4 linked regions of the Oryctolagus cuniculus genome follow. The protein of the gene in region 3 interacts with the protein of the main gene of each other region in a biochemical or structural test. Links are inferred from orthologs where the notes say so. Each region holds a gene or a part of one and is shown on either strand. Other genes may lie near its edges.

Evidence for each region. The genes of interacting proteins can lie anywhere in the genome.
Region 1: the proteins of BMPR2 (region 3) and GDF5 form a complex in vitro, tested with the Homo sapiens proteins (2 studies listed by BioGRID and IntAct, with this or other methods). The link is inferred for Oryctolagus cuniculus from reciprocal best matches to the Homo sapiens genes BMPR2 and GDF5.
Region 2: the proteins of BMPR2 (region 3) and BMP4 form a complex in vitro, tested with the Homo sapiens proteins (2 studies listed by BioGRID). The link is inferred for Oryctolagus cuniculus from reciprocal best matches to the Homo sapiens genes BMPR2 and BMP4.
Region 4: the proteins of BMPR2 (region 3) and BMP2 form a complex in vitro, tested with the Homo sapiens proteins (4 studies listed by BioGRID and IntAct, with this or other methods). The link is inferred for Oryctolagus cuniculus from reciprocal best matches to the Homo sapiens genes BMPR2 and BMP2.

What each region holds. Positions count from the first base shown.
Region 1 is NC_091442.1:22,724,807-22,729,891, reverse strand, and holds the start of GDF5 (growth/differentiation factor 5 precursor), read right to left. Parts: upstream 3,311-5,085; coding exon 2,683-3,310; intron 414-2,682; coding exon 1-413. UniProt on the Homo sapiens protein: Growth factor involved in bone and cartilage formation. During cartilage development regulates differentiation of chondrogenic tissue through two pathways.
Region 2 is NC_091443.1:22,466,082-22,470,970, reverse strand, and holds BMP4 (bone morphogenetic protein 4 precursor), read right to left. Parts: upstream 3,163-4,889; coding exon 2,790-3,162; intron 1,868-2,789; coding exon 1,011-1,867; downstream 1-1,010.
Region 3 is NC_091434.1:37,454,230-37,458,632, forward strand, and holds part of BMPR2 (bone morphogenetic protein receptor type-2), read right to left. Parts: intron 3,606-4,403; coding exon 2,329-3,605; intron 745-2,328; coding exon 494-744; 3' UTR 1-493. UniProt on the Homo sapiens protein: On ligand binding, forms a receptor complex consisting of two type II and two type I transmembrane serine/threonine kinases.
Region 4 is NC_091442.1:31,667,816-31,672,807, reverse strand, and holds the start of BMP2 (bone morphogenetic protein 2 precursor), read right to left. Parts: upstream 3,311-4,992; 5' UTR 3,249-3,310; intron 2,072-3,248; 5' UTR 2,065-2,071; coding exon 1,722-2,064; intron 1-1,721. UniProt on the Homo sapiens protein: Growth factor of the TGF-beta superfamily that plays essential roles in many developmental processes, including cardiogenesis, neurogenesis, and osteogenesis. Induces cartilage and bone formation.

The sequences.
Region 1 (5,085 bases), on a different chromosome or scaffold from region 3:
GGTGCGGCCGAACACTAGGAACAGAGCCTTCTCATGGACCTGCCGGGCAGTCCGATCAAAGCCCAGGCCACGGAGGTCCACGGCCCGGCCCCGTTCCCAGGCCTCCAGCTCCAGGCATAGCTGGGCCGAGTTCTTAAAGTTTCGGAAGAGCTTCCAGATGTCGAACACCTCCCAGCCAGAGCCGTCCAGGCCTGGCACGGAGCGCACATCCAGCAAGGCTGCCGGCTGCCGACCGCTGGGGCAGCTGGACAGCTTCAGCTGGGCAGCCCGCCCGCTGCCGGGGGCCACTGGCTTGGCTGTGTCTGAGGGCCTCTTCCGCAAGATCCGCAGCTCAGCCCCCAGCAGCCCGTCCTTCTCCAGGGCACTAATGTCAAACACGTACCTCTGCTTCCTGACCACAGGCCCTCGGTCATCTAGAGAGAACACCCAGAAGTCATTGCCTGCATCCCCCACCTCGGGGAGCCAGTCACCTCGAGGCCCCACGGGAGCACCCCAGCTCGCTCACTCACTCGCTCTCTCTCTCTCCCCCCTACGAGAGAGCTCTCTTTAACCTCTTCCCCACTCCAACAGAGGCCAAGACCCAGAGCACTGACAACCGTTTTCAAAAGGAGGGAGCTTCCCACAGGCAACCAAGGTCTGGTGTTCGTCTGCAAATGTAGCTGCGGTTGCCTTGAGTGATTTGGGGGTGGTTTGTGCCAATGATCTACATGTGTCAACGATCCGCCAGCCTTGGAGCTGCCTTCTGCCTCTCTCCCTCTCCTATCCATCATGCAACAGGATAGCTCAGTTATCAGACTGGCAGAGCAGACATTAAAATCACCTTTGTTTTTCCGGAGGAACCTACGGCTCTGAGAAGTTAGGTGCTTGCTTGAGAAAACCCAGCCAGGGTTGGAACGCTAGCCGGAAGCTTTTGATCCCCGATCTGAGCTGCTTTCACACTCTCCTGGAGGAGATCTGGGTGTTCTCGCTTTGTAGATGAGGGACAGGCATGCGGGGCGACTTGACTAAGGTCACACAGAGTTACCGACAAAGCTGTGGATAACTCAGCTTGCCAGGCTTTTGTGGATATGTCTTGCTCTGCGGCATGTGTGAGTGTGTGACGGTTTGTATGTGTGTGTGACTGGGTTTATTCTGAATAGGAAAGATCATGGCTGAGTACGCATGAGTTTCAAAATGTTTGCACCAAAAATATATGTCTTTCGATTCCATTTTTAAAAACTTTTAGACGCACCCTCGGGTGTGTGAGTGACATGTTACAAGTGTGTTGCATTGGGCTTGTGTGACTATCTGAAAGGTCAGTTCTTACATGTATACTTACATGTGAGAATTGTGTGTATAAAGAGGTATGTGAGTGTATGTGTGTGTGTGTGATTCCGCATGCATGTATAAATCCAAACTGTGTGTGCGAAGCTAGTAGTATCTCTGAATCGGCATACCCTTCTTCCTAAATACCAATTTGCCATTGGGGAACATTCATATATTGCTCTAGGTGACTAATTAGGCCTTTAAACTCCCCATCTCCCCCTCCCGAAGCCCCGTTAGTGCTGGGGGGCACAAGGACTGATTTTATGATTCCCCAAGGGGTCACAGCTTTCCCTGGCTGGGCAGGCAGCCAGGCCACCTCCCCCCACCTCAGCCAGACCTGCTGCCTCTGTGCCTCACCCCCGCCACCCGCACCCCCACCCCTGTGCTTCCCCTACAGGCCAGCTCTAATGAGGAACCTCTCCCAATCTCTGTCCCCTCCCCCACCCTGCCAGCCAAAGCCCCTCAAACTCTGAACCAGAGCCCAGGAGCTGCAAGCAACCCGAGCGATCAGCGGCCCACCCCCCCTTCTCACACTAGGGAGACGCTGCAGCCAGCCCGGAGAGGGAGACTTGCTGAGCTCACACAGCGAGTTAGAAGAAGAGCTGCAACAGTGACACGAGGTGGGCAGAGGGAGAAGTGAGGGGAGCAGGTGTTCCCCCAGGTTCAGGATGAAAATGATCTGTGGTTAGGACAGGACATCAGGTTTTCAGTTTTTGAGGGGCACTCAGAAATCACACAGCCCACCGCCCAAACGGCTGTGCACGTGGGAGAACAGAGCCTGCCGTGAGAAGGGCCTTTTTCTCAGGGTCACATTGCGAGTTAGACCCTGGGTCTGCAGTCTCCCCACGTCTCCAGACATCCTTCCACGACTGCAAGATGCCCCGGCTTCCTCTGCCCTCAGCCCAAGAGCAAAGCTGCAGAGCCTCGGCGACCGGGAGACTCAGCTCTCTCTCCACCCAGTGAGAAAATCTACAAACTCCAGGAGCCTGCAAAATCTGGCCAGCCCCCCCAGACGCAGAGCACGGCCTGGTAGTCAAGACTCTCGGAGTCTGGTCTCCGATCTGCCCCTCACGGGCAGCTCCGTCCCCTCTCCCGGCTCCAGTGCGCCTCTCTGCACCTTGCAGGAAGTGGATCTGGCGATCACTAGTCGCCTTCCAGCAATGACCTGCCAGCAGCCTGGACCTGGTGTGTGTGTGTGTGTGTGTGTGTGTGTGTGTGTGTGTGTGTAAGAGAGAAAGAAGTCAGGCACCCCATCCCAGGCCAGGTGCACACACCGTCCTGCCCCAGTGCAGCCCGTGCAAGGCCCCCTCTCCCACCCCGCCATGCATGCAGCTGCCCCTCCCTCTGAGTCGCACCCCTGCCACCCCACCCCCTCACCTTGCCCTTTGTCAATAAAGCTGGTGATGGTGTTGGCCAGGCCAGCCTCCAACTTCACGCTGCTGTTGCCTCCCTTTCTGTCAGCATCGGACAGCGTCCTGTACAGCGAGAGCATGTACTCGTGGGGTGTGATGGGGGGCGGGCGGAACGGTTCCTTGGGCTCTCGAGGGGGCCCGGGCTCCCTGGCCTTCTTCAGCAGGAAGGAGCTGGGGACAGATCCTGCCTTTGGGGGTGCCTTCCCCCCGGGAAGCTGTCCTTTTGGGGTCACAGTTCGTGCTGCAGTCTGCCTGGTCTGGGGAGGGTGTCCTGGCTTGGGTTCAGGGCCACCCGTTCTGGGGGGCAGCAGCTTTTTGGGTTCATCCTTCTTGGGCTGGGTCAGGCCTCCCGTCTGCCCGGTGCCTCCCTTGGCCCTGGCATTGGTGGCCCCCCCACCATAGCTGTGACCCCCGGGCCTGAAGATGCTCCGGGCCACCGCGGGCCTCTCCTTGGCCTCCGCTTTGGCCAACACTGGCCTGGGCCCCGGGGGTCTCTGGCCCAAGTCAGGGGCACCCAACACAGAGCAGACGAATTCCAGGTCCAGCCAAGCCAGGTGCCAAAGCAAGAGAGTGAGGAGTGTGGGGAGTCTCATCCTCTGGCCAGCCGCTGGATGACACCAAAGAGAACGGCGGCAGCAGCGAAGGAGCCTCTGGCTTGGCAGGAAAAACCATGAAAGGAGTGGACTTTCAAAGGCAGCGGCGGCGGCAGTAGCGGCAGCAGGGACGGCGCTCTCAGTCTGAGACTCCTGAAGTCTGCCGGGCGTGTGTTTGTGTCCAGTCCCATCGTGGAAATGCTTGCGGATCCAGACGTGCACCGTCTCCAGTCAGCAGCTGAAAATAACTCGTTCTTGAAAGGAGAAAGCCGACCGCCCCCTTTCTCCTGCACAACTGACTGAGGGCTTGAAGGAGGCTTGTATAAGACTGAGGGATTTTTCCAAGAAGGAAGAATGGCGTAATGCTGCCTGTGTGCTCCAGTTTTTTTTTCCTCCCCCCCTGGTTTTGAATCCTTTCCAGTGAAAATACTTCACACACACACACACACACACATACACACACACATACACAGAGGCCTGCAGGTGCTCAGAAAAATCTTTTACAAACCTGAACTCAGGAATTGGAAACGGAATTCCAACCCAAACCAATTTAATTACTCTCTGATGTCATGCTGTCTAAACTCATTTAAGTACGATATATTTATGTGAAAAAAGTCACGGCTGCCCTTTGCAGGCCCTGGCTCACGGGGGCTCTTGGCACAGAGCCCCACAGCGGGACTTGCGGCTTAGGGGGCTCCCGGTCGGCCCAGCAGACTCAGGGGTCCTCATGTGCACTTCACGGAGCAGCCCACCCCACCTGCCTGCAGAGGCATGCCCGGGAATGAGCTCGAAGATCTTAAGCCCCAGAAACACGGGCAGTGTGGGTTTTCAGTAAGTCCTTGCCATGTTTTTAAGGCGGTTTCAACCCCTGCGTGTAGTCCTGGGCCTGATTTGTTCTGTGTGTGTGTGTGTGTGTGTATGTGTGTGTGTGTTGGCGGGAGGTAGCACAGATGGCAGCATTTACCTACAGTTTCTTTTATTTGAATAAACTTGAGGTGACCCAGAGAGAGAGAGAAAGATCTTGGTGCCCGCTGCACTCCCCGCCGAATGCCACTGACGGAGCGCAGGTGAGTTCTTCAGGCTTGGGGGCACTGGCACCCCGGAGCCCGCTGTGTGGACGGAGACAGGTCCCGGCAGCCCCCAACCTCCTCAGAGTTCCCTTCGAGCAGGAGGGCTGAGTCCAGAGGCTACGGCCCCAGCCTGGGGCAGCAGCGACCCCTGCAGGAGGCTGGAAAAGCGGCTTCCTCCATGCGTTTCTGGTAGCTCTACAAGTCCCAATTCCAGCTGGACTTGGGGTTTCTTAAAGTGCCTCCTGGAAGCCAGGAAGCCCCCTTCGCTCGGGAGCCTGTCCCTTAGAGGCCATGGGCAACTCGCCCCAGAATCGTGGGGTAAGAGTTGTTCCCTTCACCTAGAATGTCCTCCTCTCCCACAATGAAGGAAGCCCTCCTCATCCTGACAAGTCTAGCTGACATCTCACCTCCTCCAGGAAGCCTTTCTCGATCTCCAGACAGAGCCAATCACTCCCTCGTGTCCACCTCACTGCAACAACACTGGCCAGGAGTTCCATGGCATCCTTCTTAATCTAAGAGACTCTGAGGTCTCAGAAGCTCTGTGATGTCTGCAGGGGTGTGCCGGCACCCAGCGGTCCTCGCCTGGTGGACCCTGGGCCCTCACTGATCTTCAGAGCACAACAGCACACTTTGGCCATCCGAGCTGCATCTGGGGCTCTGAGGTCAGAAAAGACAATAGAGCTCCCCTCCCCACCTCGGAGGCTC
Region 2 (4,889 bases), on a different chromosome or scaffold from region 3:
AGGAGGCACAGCAGAGGTACAGCAGAGAGGAGGGTTGGCATTGACTCCAGAGAGCCCACAGTAGCAGCGAAGCACTTTCACAGTGCCTACTCAGCATCTGGCCTCCTTGTCAGTCCCCTTCCCAGCCCAATGTGTCAGGATGTTGAACTTGATGAAGGCCTTCAAGAGCGATGGGGGGTAGGGAATAATGCCAAGAAAACACTGGAGAGTTCTCAGTGGTGTATTAAAGTAGTGGTTATCAAGCTTTTTTTTAATAAAATGTAGGGCATATCATATATTTTACTGGGTAAAGTCCACTTCAAAACAAAGAAAAAACCCACAGATTCATATGTGAGCTGTGCAAATTAGTTTTGGTTTGAAAACACACTGGCGCCTGTAATAACCAGAGACACCCCGAGGTATCGTAAAGGTGGGAGCTCAGACTTCATCACAGTCGGCTGGGCCGCACCTCCAACAGGTGAGCAAACACAGAAGATGTACGAGGAGCCCCAAACGGGGCCTTTCATCTGACCTGCTCCTTTCATCCCACTGTTTCTCCAAGGCATGTGTCATCCAGATGGGAGAGGATGCTGCGTCCTTGTTAACATTAAATAGAAATGGAAAACAATTCATCCCAGCAATTACCATCTCTCTGGGCCACTGGTTTACTTCCTGTCCCCACCCCAACTTCCATCAATGCCCCCAGCCTCTCTCAACAGCACAACCGAAAAGAAAAAGGGTAAGAGAGAAAAAGGCCAGAGTGTACCTTTAAAATAATGACTCATTTTATTTTTTTCTTTTAATACGTAGTTATAAATATATTTTGTCAAAATATATGATCAATATGGTCAAAACATTTGCACGTAAAGTCATAAATAAGGTCAAGGTGAATGTTTAGGTTTTTTCCTTTTTTTTCTTTTTTCAAAGATAAAAAGTCCAGCTATAAGGAAGCAGTCTGTGTAGTGTGTGGGTGAATGGATGGGAACGTGTGTGTGTCTGTCTGTCTGTCCGTCCTCAAGGGCTGCGGGATCTCAGCGGCACCCACACCCCTCTACTACCATCTCCTGGTAATTCTTCAGTACCACCTTGTCATACTCATCCAGGTACAGCATGGAGATGGCGCTCAGTTCAGTGGGCACACAACAGGCTTTGGGGATGCTGGAGTTGACAGAGTTGACCAGGGTCTGCACGATGGCGTGGTTGGTGGAGTTGAGGTGGTCCGCCAGTGGAAAGGGGCAGTCCCCGTGGCAGTAGAAGGCCTGGTAGCCTGGGGGGGCCACAATCCAGTCATTCCAGCCCACGTCGCTGAAGTCCACGTAGAGCGCGTGGCGCCGGCAGTTCTTATTCTTCTTCCGGGCCCGCTGTGGGTGATGCTTAGGGCTCCGCTTGGCCCTCCGGCGTCGGGTCAAGGCATGGCCCCGGCCGTCGTGGCCAAAGGTGACCAGGAGGGGCCGGAGCTGGGCCCAATCCCCACTCCCTTGAGGTAACGATCGGCTAACCCTGACATGCTGGCCCTGATGGGTCCGTGTATGGTGGAGGTGAGTCACCTCCACGGCCAGCCCATGGTTGGGCTGCTTCTCCCGGGTCCATCGCAGGACCGCGGGGCTCACGTCAAAAGTTTCCCACCGTGTCACATTGTGGTGGACCAGTCTCGTGTCCAGTAGTCGTGTGATGAGGTGCCCGGGCACTGCTTCCGCCGGGGGCTTCATAACCTCATAAATGTTTATCCGGTGGAAGCCCCGCTCCCAGTCGGGGCCCTGGTCCACCTGCTCCCGGAAGAGCCGGAGCTCTGCGGAGGAGATGGCCTCGTTCTCTGGGATGCTGCTGAGGTTAAAGAGGAAACGAAAAGCAGAGTTTTCGCTGGTCCCTGGGATGTTCTCCAGATGTTCTGGGCACGGTGAGAAGGAAGGGAAAATGAAAGAGCACGTGAACTTTTTTGAGAGATGGGGATGGCGGAAGTAGCTGAGCGGGGTGATGAGTGGTGAACTCTGCTTATAAGCTGGAAGACTACGGTGGGGGCAGGGGAGGGGTGTCTGCCTGTGGGTCTGAAGGAGCAGCTAGGTAGGGCACCCAGGGAACCAACAACACTTAGCTGGCGCCTGTCTAGCACCCAAGACAGAGCATCTCCCAGCCTCCCCCATGTGCCTGACAGCTTCCACGCAGCCACTCCCTTTCTCCATCACGCTCAGACTCCCATTTAAAGCCCCCTCTTGGCTTGGCCCACAGAGCCCAGGCTGGAGGAAACATGCATGCAACCACTCTCTCCCTCTTCCTCTTTCGAGTATGTTACTAAACATTTCCCCAGCGATCTTGGAAACACAGAGCATGCCTTGTTGATCATGTTACAGGGGGGAAAATAAATTCCAACACAGTAATGATGCTGGTGGATTCATAACTCAGATTTACTTTGGAAAAGAAACATCCGCTAGGAAACATTCAGATCAGATTACAAGGCCCCTATTGAATAAACCTGACCAACGCACACAGCTGTAATATTAAATTCGGTAGGTGCTTTGGAAAAAGGGGGGGCGGGGGGCAGAAACAGCTTTGATATGGCAGAAACACACCAGCGGGACTAGCAGCCTCAGTCCCCATCTCCCAACTACCCCCACCTCCACCCCCCTAACCGCCCCCCCCCCAAATAAGTTCAGAGGCAGCTCTGGAAATTCTTGGAGGTGAGCAGCCCCGTTCCCCAGCCTCTCCGATTGGGGCTTTGATGTAACCTGAACTCTTCCCCCAGGGTGCTCAGGGCCCCCGCAGCCAGGCCTGCTGGCCCTCCCCCCTCGCCCAGACGCCAGCCAGGGACTCACCTTCGTGGTGGAAGCTCCTCACGGTGTTGGCCCGGCTGGCCGGACGCTCCGGATACTCGAGACCGCCGCTGGGCATCTGCTCTTCCTCCTCCTCCTCCCCTGACTGGAGCCGGTAAAGATCCCGCATGTAATCCGGGATGACGGCGCTCTTGCTAGGCTGCGGGCGGCGGCGCAGCCCGAACATCTGCAGCAGCGTCGCCTCGAAGTCCCGCAGGAGCTCATGGCTCTGCCCTGAGCGGCGTCCTCCCGCGTGGCCCTGAATCTCGGCGACTTTTTTCTTCCCCGTCTCAGGTATCAAACTAGCATGGCTCGCGCCTCCTAACAGGACTTGGCATAATAAAACGACCATCAGCATTCGGTTACCAGGAATCATGGTGTCTCTGGGGAGGGGTGGGGGGGTGGAATAAATAAACACCAGTAAATAGAGAGAAACAGAGAGGTGTCCGCATATGCATATAGGGCTAGCAGCACAGGGTCGGGATGCCAAGCAGGTCGGAAAGACCCAAGTCTGTGCCTTCTCCCTCGCACCCCCTCCCCCCCCCAAGCAGCTGCAGCCGTGCACGGCCTGAAAGTAAAAATTGCCCTGTAATTACTTGGTCTAACTTGTTTACAGTCAAATAACCCCAAATCAGATAGCCTCCATCCTGTTAATCTTTTTTTGTCCCAACTGCCATCTGAGCCATGATCTCAGCGTGGCTTCTTCAGGAATAAACAGTTAACATGGAGGGGGGGGTGAGGAGGGGGGGGAGGGAGAACGCAAATGCCCTCGCTCTCCACGGCCGACTTTCAGCCTCTCCCCCCTCTCCCTCCACCCCCACCTTCCTCCGCCCTCCGAGCCCAACTTCCACAACCTCCAGCTGGTCGGGACCGTCAGGGAGGGAAGGCGGAGAGGCAGGGACTGGACGGAGGCGCGGGGCGGGCGGCGGGGTCCGGGGGGGCTGCCCCGGCGGCCGGTTTTGCGCCGTGGCCGACGAGGGTGAAATACTCGGCAGGAGGTGTGATCGTGTCGGCACGCTCCCTCCCGGGGAAGGGGGTGGCAGCCGGCTCCGGGGAGAACTCCGCGAGCTTTGACAAGAGGCTGGGACCGCTCCACGGGCGCTCGGAACGCTCCCCTAGGCCAGCGGGGCAGGGACGCGGAGTGGCGGGCGCGCAGGACCACCCCGGGGCAGCGGACCTGTCGTCTCTGAGCCCCCACCCCAACCCCAGCCCCGCGCGCTCCCTTGCCCTGCACCGCGCCCGATCGGAGCCGGCAGCACTTGTTAAAAAGAACCGGCTGGGTCTGCGCGCGCCGGCTGCGGGGCCGCGAGCGGAGCGTGGAGGGCAGTGAATTCCCGGGAGGGGGTAAGCAAGAGGTGTCTACTCACTGACAGAAAACAAGGCATATAATAACAGTCCATGATTCTTGGCAGCCAATCTTGAACAGACTTGCTGGAAAGGCTCAGAGAAGCTGCGGCCGCGCGTCGCTCGGGATGGCACTACGGAATGGCTCCTAAAATGAATATTTGAATATAATGAGACTCGGGCGCAGACAGGCTCTGTTTTTCTTCCAGCCCCTCGGAGTCACGTGAACGCCGAGGCCCCGCCCGCCCCGCCTCCACCCGCCGCCCCCGCTCGGTCCCCGCCCCTCCAGGCGAGGCCAACCTCCGCGCCCGCCGCCCGAGCCTCGGCGGCCGGGGAGGAGCTCCCGACGGCGGCGCTCAGCGGAAACCTCGGCCGGTGCCCCGCCGCCAGCGCGCGGAGGACCTGGCCTTTGCCTCCAGCTGCGGCGCGCCATGCCGAGGGTCTGGCCGGCCCCTCGTCCCCGGGACGCTTTAGCCACAGGTCCCGGGCACGAAAGAAAGGGTTTGCGCTTTGCGGCCCGAGCCTCGCTCCAGGGGTTGGCAGTGGAGTTTCAGCCGCCCGGAGCCTCCGCACCGAGAGGCATGGGTACCGGGAAGCGCAGCGGGACCCTCCGCGCACGCTCGCACGACCCCAAGCACGCGCGCGCGCGCCCTGCCGGTCCTCCCTGGGGTCTCGGCGAGGCCAAACATCACCCCTGGCGAGCGGCTGCGGGCGCTCCGAGCAGCAGGGCGGCCCGGCGCTGCGGCCCCTGTCACGCGT
Region 3 (4,403 bases):
AGAGAAAAGAAAGTCCAACAGATAATATGTTCAGGAAAGTATATCAATATATAAACTAGCTTGTGCCCAGAAATAAAACATGGATACCAGACACCACTGCAGTCAAACCTGTCTTAATTTGCTTCTGTTTTAATGACCTTTAGACACTGGTCCAAACTGATTATCAGCAATACATTGTTTTTGCTTTTTTCTTAAAAAAATATTTTGAGACCACTTTTGATACACACACATATAATTCTGTGGTCATAACAGACAAATATAACTTTAGCAAGACTAAACAAAAGTGCAAAACTTAAAAAAAAAACAAAATTAAAAAATATGGAAGCATAAGCTAAATTTTTCTGCATAGCTGAAATCTATTTAAAGCAAGTCCTGGTTGCAGGGTTGGGAGGGGTGCTGACGGGGAGGATAAAGCAGTTTTTTTTTTTTTAAATATCTTCTGCATGTTTAAATGATGCAAAAAATAATTTTACTCCGTAGGCTTGAGAACATTTCACAGACAGTTCATTCCTATATCTTTAGACACCATGGTTGTGGCAGTGCCTCCTTCTGCAAGGTAAACAGCGGTGCTGGATTTGGAATGAACTGCCCTATCGTTGCCATAGCTGTTGACCTCACAGTCCAGTGGTTCAGTGGAGATGACCCAGGTGGAGGGGCGCCACCGCTTAAGAGAATAGGGAGTTTTCACACGTTTCTTGATCTTTTCACCTGATCCTGATTTGCCATCTTGTGTTGACTCACCTACTGAAAACAAAAGTACAGAAAAATGAACTAAACATAAAGAACTGGTGAGAAGTAAAGGGTTAGGATTGTAGCAAATCAGTGTCTGCAGAAGGTGTTGATGGACATTTCTCCAAAGTCATGAGGACAGGCAATGTGTTCTTGGCAAAGCTTAACCAATTTATTTTTGACACTTTTTAAGACAAATGGTCTCTTAAAACTGATTGAATTACTCCACAAGGCAAAGGAGGAAATAGAGGGAAAAAAATCCAAAAAGTAAGATCAGAGAAGAAAATTCAAAGTTTTCAGCAACATTCTCAAATACTTTGGTTTTGGTAGAAACTGTAACTCGGTAAAATGTACTTTATTCTACCTAGTACTAAAGTGGATCAAACTTGAAAGTTACCTGACAAACAATATTCTTTAGGAGGATATCAGAAATATTATAGTACAGATTTCCTAGTTATTCCCTCTTCTCATACATCAAAGGAGATCTTTCACTGAAACAAAGCCTGGCAATCGGGGTACATCCACTGCTCCACGAGACAAGCCACTCAAGCAATGGGACAGGGGCCCATCTTGTAGTCCCTGACAACCATGAAACCTAACTTCTTCTCCCATGAGTACTGTCAGTCTAAAACAGAAACTATTTTATATAATGATGACTGTTATAGATTTTGGTAGACGTAATTGTCTTGTGCTGTAATTTACTTAGGGCCAGAAACCAAGCATCAGTTTATTTGTTTATGTTGCTATGGGGCCCACAGCACAATGCTACAGGTATGTGAGAAACCCAATGTGTTACTCTGGAGAAAGATGACACTAAGAAACCGAGACAACCTTGTAGTTTCTTTAAAGAGACTTTTCTGAAATTTCTCTGGATTTCTAAGATTTATTATAGTTTGATAAACTCTAAATGCAGATATAATAATATATGTTAATATTCACAACAAACTGTCTGAAAAGTTACACTGGCGTTAACACTATTCGGAATCTTGAATTGGTGAGTACTTAATCTCAACTATTCACACCAAGTGTGACAGTTGTATTATAAGGCAGCAGCCATATAATGCACAAATTAAAGTGTTAATTATCTGATTACCAAGATACGGAGTTAATTCTTCAATGACAAAATTCCTATTGCATTTTTTCTTCAAAATAGTCTAATTACTTTTGAGACCCAACCAAATGGTTTATTTTATTTTAAAAAATGCTAAAGGTAAATAATCACTAGTTGTAGGCTAATCCTCTGCCTCGCGGCGCTGGCACACTGGGTTCTAGTCCCGGTCAGGGCGCCGGATTCTGTCCCGGTTGCCCCTCTTCCTGGCCAGCTCTCTGCTGTGGCCAGGGAGTGCAGTGGAGGATGGCCCAAGTCCTTGGGCCCTGCACCCCATGGGAGACCAGGAGAAGTACCTGGCTCCTGCCATCGGATCAGCGCGGTGCGCTGGCCGCAGCGTGCCGGCCACAGCGGCCATCGGAGGGTGAACCAACGGCAAAGGAAGACCTTTCTCTCTGTCTCTCTCTCTCACTGTCCACTCTGCCTGTCAAAAAAAAATCACTAGTTGAAACACAATCTGATTCTAAGACACACAGGAACCCTCTACTTACTCTGCATGCTGCTGCCATCCAGGACATTTGTGGCTGAAAGATCCAGAGAATTAGGCCTCTGTGCTCTTCTGGGCTTTGATGGCCCAGGATCTGCTACTGTGCTTGGAACACTTTGTGTAAGAACATCTTGTTCTGAACATGGATTGCTGTTGTTGTTATTGGAATTAGTTCGGCCACCTTCTAGTGGCCGTTCCCTCCTGTCCACCAGACGATCCAGAACACCTTCATCACGGCCAGCCTGCTGCTCTCGTCTCAGTAAAGGTTCATGCTCATCAGGACTGGAATTAATATTCAGCCTGGTGTCCTCACTGATAAATTGATTCTGCAGCATTTCTTGGGCCCTATGTGCCCCTATGTTGGCTGTCTGGCCAGATGGTACTGTCCCATTGGCGTACTGGGTTGTGGCAGCATGGGAGTTAACATGGTTTCTACCTGCCACCCCATTCATGGTAACAGTCACCACATGAGGTTCTGCTGCATTGATTGTGTTCATTTTGGCAACCCCAGTTTCTACTTGTTTCAAGTTTGATTTGTGCTTGCTGCCAAATTTTAGCCGGGGCTCCTTTGTTGAATTTTTGGTGTTCAAAGGCAAACTAGTAGGTCTCTTAGGAAGGTTCTGTTGTTTGGGAAGAGGATAAATCTGAGTAGGTGGAACATCAGGAATTAAACATGCTTGGCCATTTGCAGCCTGTGTGAAGTCCTGCTGTCCAGTCACTTCTACTGCAAGCTTTATGAGTGGGTAAAGCAAGCTAGAACTGGTGCTGCTCAATGGGTCTGGCCCACTGAACTGTTTAAGAGAATGTTCCATGAGATTCTCATCAGAGCTTTCTTTGAGGTTCTTATCAACTTCTTTTGGGTCTAGCTTGTTGGTCGCCAAGTCTTCTTCTGTTAGCTGTAAGCACACAGGTGTTGGCCCAATCGACTGTGTAGCATTTGCAGCATGAAGACTGGTTTCATCTGGGTACGGCACCTCAGATATAGTAGTCATGCCAGTACTAGGAGTGAGACCAGTGGTGTTTGTGGTTGTTGTATTGGTGGACAGGCTGGTGACGCTCGTTTCAGGGCTGGGGATTCGAGCTTGTGCTTGTTGCCGTTCATAATTAATTGAGTTCCGGTTCTTTTCCCCTGTAGTCAAAGGTGTGCTGGACACGGAATGCTCAGAGGAAATGTTCTTCACAATGCTGTCAGTATGATGGATGGAGTCTTCAATGTATGAGGAAGAAGAGTAATCTGGATAAGGGCCAATTTTTGGCATACGCCTATTATGTGACAGGTTGCTTAAAAAAAGAAAAAGTATAACACTGAAAATGTGTATTATGACAAATTTTCTCCAAGTTTAGTACTTCTGATTTTAAAGTTCAAGCTGCTTTTCATTTAATTCCTAACTCATATTATTTTAGAGGTTACTTAAGATGAAAAACAATCAAGTGTCAATACCTTGATAAATGCTAGCTATACAAGACTTAAGCATACTGAAAAATCTACATGAATCTTGATGATTTTTTGTAGCTGTTCATTATTTTATTTTACAAGGATTAATTCAATAATTTCCTCTATAGTTTTATAACTCCACCAAATACATCTTTATGAACCATATACTCATATAACCAGATATTATATTTTGTGAGCAGAGGAACCATAGCACTTATTTCTTTTGTATTCCCTTTTTTTTTTTTTTTTTTTTTTTTTTGACAGGCAGAGTGGACAGAGAGAGAGAGAGAGAGAAAGGTCTTCCTTTGCCGTTGGATCACCCTCCAATGGCCGCCGCTGCAGCCGGCGCACCGCGCTGATCCGATGGCAGGAGCCAGGAGCCAGGTGCTTTTCCTGGTCTCCCATGGGGTGCAGGGCCCAAGCACCTGGGCCATCCTCCACTGCACTCCCTGGCCATAGCAGAGAGCTGGCCTGGAAGAGGGGCAACCGGGACAGAATCCGGCGCCCCAACCGGGACTAGAACCCGGTGTGCCGGCGCCGCAAGGTGGAGGATTAGCCTATTGAGCCACGGCGCCGGCCTTGTATTCCCTTAATTCTAGATACCTCATGTCTTTTCAGTGAGTATCTTGCCAATTCAGTATCAA
Region 4 (4,992 bases), on a different chromosome or scaffold from region 3:
CTGGTGTGCCTGGAAAAGCAGTGGAGGATGGCTCAAGTCCTGGGGCCCCTGCACACATGTGGGAGACCCAGAAGAAGCTCCTGGCTCTTGGCTTCGGATCAACCCAGCCCCGGCTGTTAAGGCCAAAAATAACTTACTATATTCTGGGTAGCCTGCTTAGGTCTTGATCAAGCCATTTCTAGAAAAAGACACAGGCACACTTCATTGCTGAAACAGTTACACATGTCAAAGTCTCAGGTGCTTTTGATTTTTAAATAATCTTCCTCTCAAAGTTATGAGAAAGACACCATACCTTCCTAGCCTTAAAAATGAACGTTAAGAGGAGACCTATCCAGCTAACTCCTATTCCCTTTTTATCCAGAAATACTATTCTAATCTGTGTCAACTGGAAGCGATGAACCTGTAGTCATCTCATGGTTACCATGACAGAAGACACAGGAAGGAAAACCTTTCTCCTGTAACAACAAACTTCTGCTGTCAGTGGCTGAATTCTCAACAGATAGAAAAAGATGTTGATCCTCAGATCTTCAGAAAACACTTTACTTCAAAATGTGCTGGAACACGTGCTACCAGCTCCCAGCTCCCTTCACTGTGACAGCTGGGATGAGAAGTAGCTTGTGTGATGGGACCTGCCTTTGGGACTTCTTCTCATTATCACCCATCGTTCTTGAAAACGTCCCACTGAGAGAAAATTGTTTTCGTCAAGGAAAAGGGAACATCAGTCAGTGCAAGTGGCTGTTCTGTGATCTGTAACTCCACTCTTTTCTAGAATTCGCAGGAATGCATTCTGTATTTAGAGCTATTAAGCCAAAGGCACATTTAAAAGAACAAAAGAATGGAAATGTAGCATGTAGTTGACTAACGGTGCTAAGAAGTTAGGTGCAACAGAGCTCCATAGCTGCCCTAAGACATTTCAAATCCACTAAATGCCTTCCTGATGAAACCAGCAGAAATATCCTACCTTAGGAAAACCACATCCAGGATCATAAAAGAAAAAAAAAATCACATTTCAATGCATGTGAAGGAAGACAGGCAGCTGCTGCAAAAGGTTTTATCTGAAGGCTTGCTTTGTCTCTACTCTGAGCCTATCTCAGATTTAAGCACGAGACAAGAAAGTCATTGTGGAAACAATAAGATTGATTGTGGAATTGATCTCCCACGGGGATTAGATAGGGATTCGAAATCTTCCAACGCAGGCCCAGATCCACTGTAAATTAGGAAGACTTGGGGGCCCTGGGCTTTGATTTTTCAAGACTATCTGAGAATTCCGCCCTTGCCTCAGTCTAGCTTGAAACCCTGGCTTAAGCTGGAGACACAGATTTATGGAGCAAGGGCTTCCAAACAGACTTCAAGAAATCCCAAACCTCCTCCTTCTCCCACTGCGGAATTCCTGCACGCTTAGCTGACCAGGGGCATGCCTTTTAGCCTCGTCTTCCCCATCCCTTGATTCCGCTCTGGTTCCTGGAGGAGGAGTCGCCCTCCTGGCTGCGTGCCAGGAAACGGGTACGGACCGACCAAGGGGGAATCCCTGGCTGGCCCGCCACACGAGCAGTGCCTGAAAATCAGATTCAGAAAGGTCGGTACGGAAGCAAGAGGGACAGCATCCGCAGAGCTCTGGCTGAACTGCCTCTCCAGGGATGCCCGCAGCCGGCCTTGGTGCTCGGCGTTGCGGGTAGCAACCCGCCCGCGTCTCTGCCCCTGCGGCGCGCGCCTCGCCTTACCTTCGTGGTGGAAGCTGCGCACCGTGTTGGCGCGGCTGGCTGCCCTCTCCAGCCGGTGGTCCGGGGCGGGCGCGCCAGGCTGGCCGGAGTGCCGGCGGTACAAGTCCAGCATGTAGGGGGGCACCACGGCGTCCCTGCTAGGGGTGGGTCTCTGCTTCAGACCGAACATGCTGAGCAACCGCAACTCGAACTCGCTCAGGATGTCGTCCGAGGGCTGGGGCGAGGGGCGGCCCGATGACGCCGCGAACTTCCTGCGGCCCAGCTCGGGGATGAGGCCGGCCGCGCCGCCCAGGAGGACCTGGGGAAGCAGCAACGCTAGAAGACAGCGGGTCCCGGCCACCATGGTCGACCTGCGGACAGGGCCGACGTGAGTCACCCGAGTTCCCCGCCCAGTCCTCTCCCTTCCCGCCCCCGCGGCCTGGGCTCCCGCTGCGCTCGCTCGCCTCCTCCTCCAGGGCGCCCTCCTGCCTTGCAGCACTTGCTGGCTATGTCAGAGCGGCCACAGCTCTAACGTTTGGGGTGGGGTGGGGGAATGGAGGGCCCCAAGTTCCTGACCCAGAGCACTTTTCTCTCTCCCACCCCAGCCTGGGCCCGTCTGATACTTGATTTGGGGGTTGGCCTTATCCCTCGCTCCCTCCCCACTGAACTTAAGTGGTTGTCACTCCCCCCTCCCATACACACACACACACACACACACACACACACACACACACACACACACCAGAGCTGGCAGCCATGCAGGGAGTCTGGGGGATCACCGCTTGATCTGACACCCTGCCGCGCCTAGCCAAACTCAGAGCGCTCCCTTGCCTATAAACGCGCGCGCATGTGACTTCCTGAGAACCGGGGCACGGAACTTCCTGAGCCACAGTTCACCACTTCCAGACCCTGCAAACTCAGGGCCACGACTTCTGAAGCCGCTTGGCGGTGGCTGCCCGCTGGGTGTCGGGACGCCCCGCTCCACGCCCGCCCGCGAGCCCCCGGTGCGGTCGCGTACGCAGGTACCTTCCCGGCGTTACATAAAGGGCCGATCTCCACGCGCGCACGTGCCAGCGGGGAAACCCACGGCGCGAGCGGGACCCTGGCCCTCTAGCGCTTCTAGCAACCGGCGGAGAGAACCCCTAACGCCCAGCGCTTTCCTACGGGGGACGGGGCTCTGATGGAGAGCGCGGGTCTCCCCCAGAATCTTGATGAAGACAGCGCCGTGCCACGGCGTACAGGTTGGCAGCTAACGGGTGAAACCCAGGGGCCATCCTCTCCAAGGCAGCTCTTTGACTTTTTAATTTTTTAAAAAAATCATCTAAGTGTTAACAGCCTTAATAATATATCGAGGAAGAGCGGAGGAGGGGCGGAAGCGTGCGGGCGCGGGGAAAGGGGGCGCCCCCGCCGGGCTGGGCTGCACGTGGCCCCGGAGAGGGGTCTGTTTACGTCCTGCCCGGCCGCGCCCCGGAGGGGGGTCCGCCGCCGCCGCCGCCGCCGCGCGAGCCCAGCGCCCGCCCCGCACCCCGGGGCCCGCGCGTCCCGTACCTTTAGGAGACCGCAGTCCGTCTAAGAAGCCCGCGGGGACACGTCCATTGAAAGAGCCTCCACATGGAAAAAGCTCTGGCCCAGGGACCTGGCGCGGGGACCGGGCGTCCGCTCCCTTCCCGTGGCCTCCGGCTTCTCCTCCCGGCGCCGGCCGCCGAGTCCCTCTCCTCGCGCAGGGCGCGGCGTCCCGGGCTCGGCCCGGCAGAGGGCTGCAGCGCGGCGGGGCTCGGAGGCAGCGAGGCGGCTCCGCCGGGGCGCGGGCACCGGCGCGAAGCGGGGAGCAGCGCAAGTTAAGGCTGCAAGTTCAAGAAGTCTCCAGCCAAGTGCTGACACACAACAACAGCGAGCAGGGGGAGGAGTGCGGGCCGGGGAAGGGAAGGGAAGGCAGAGAGGAAAGGCTGCTGCTGTCGTCGTCCTCAGGCACCAGCGCCCGCGGGACGCGTGGCCGCGCGCGGGGCCGCCTGCGGGACTCCGGGGGGCGAGGGTCGGGCGCTCAGCGCTAGCTCCGCCGCGGCCCATGGCTCGGGGCAGCCATCCTGGGCGACGCCGGGTCCGGGGAAGGGCACAGCGGCGATCTCGATGCCCGGCGAGCTGCCCCCCCGCATCACTCTGCCTGCCGCCAGCGCACCCCCATCAGCGCTGGCCAGTGGAAACAGCCGCGGCTCCGGCGCCCCGTCGTCCTCGGGCGCATTCTCCGCGAGCCCAGCCGAGTCCCGGGCCGCCGAAGCGGGTGGCCGCGCTCTGCCCTCGCTGCTGTCCTAGCCCTCGGGCCAAGTGCCCTTTGTGGCCGGCTTGGGGTCCGATCACACCTCGGCTGGCACGTCTCGAGCCCCCGATCCCCGGCAGGAGGTGCTCGGCATCGCGGCGCTCGGGCTTGGCTCCGCACTCTCCGGCGCTCCGCGCGCCCGTCCGCGGCTCCGGCGCGGCCCGGGCAGCCGAGGCCACCGAGCTGTGGCGCGCAACGGCCGGGTGCTCCAACCCGCGAGGGGTCTGCGGTGCGCGGGTGCCTCGCAGCGCCCAGTAATCCGCGCGGCGCTCGCCTCGAGGGCGCTCGGGTCGCCGGCGGCGGCTGATGTCCGGCGGCGGCTGCCAATCCCCGGCGGGGTGTGGGAACCGGAGCGGCGGGCGCAGCGCGAGCCGGGCGCAGCGCGGCGGGGCGAGGACTCCGGCGGCGACGGCGGCGGCGGCGGCGCCGTGGCGCGGCGCTCGCGGCTTTTAAAGGGGACGCCGCCTGCTGGCTCCCTCCCGGCCCCGGCCGAACACCTCCCCCTCGGCGGCACTGCTCGCCGGGGATCCCCGAGCGGGCGGGAGCGGCGCTCAGGGGTGTGGACGGCGCGCCGGGGGCAGCCGCAGCGGGGTGGGGCCAAGGGCGGGGGCGCGCGGCCGCCGAGGGGGGCGCTGGCGCTTCCACCCCCCTGCCCTAGGGCCGGAGATGTCACCCTTGTACCCGACCCTCGCGTGTTCTCCGGGGCTGAGATGCGGGGCGACGGCAGGTTCTGGCCTCGGTGTCTCCACCGGGCCCGTTATTCAGGTTTCAGTTTGAAGTTTTTCAGAAAAGAGCTCAGGGAAGTTACAGAGCATCTTGGTGCAGACGTGGTGTGGTAGACGCTTCTGTATTTCCCCGGCGAGGGGAAGCTGGAAACTGGCCGATATTTAACACAGAGACATCTATGTAGCTGCAGATGGAAATCCATGTGTGCGCATTTACAGTTACATAAATTTGGGTATGCATTTGCACTCAAAC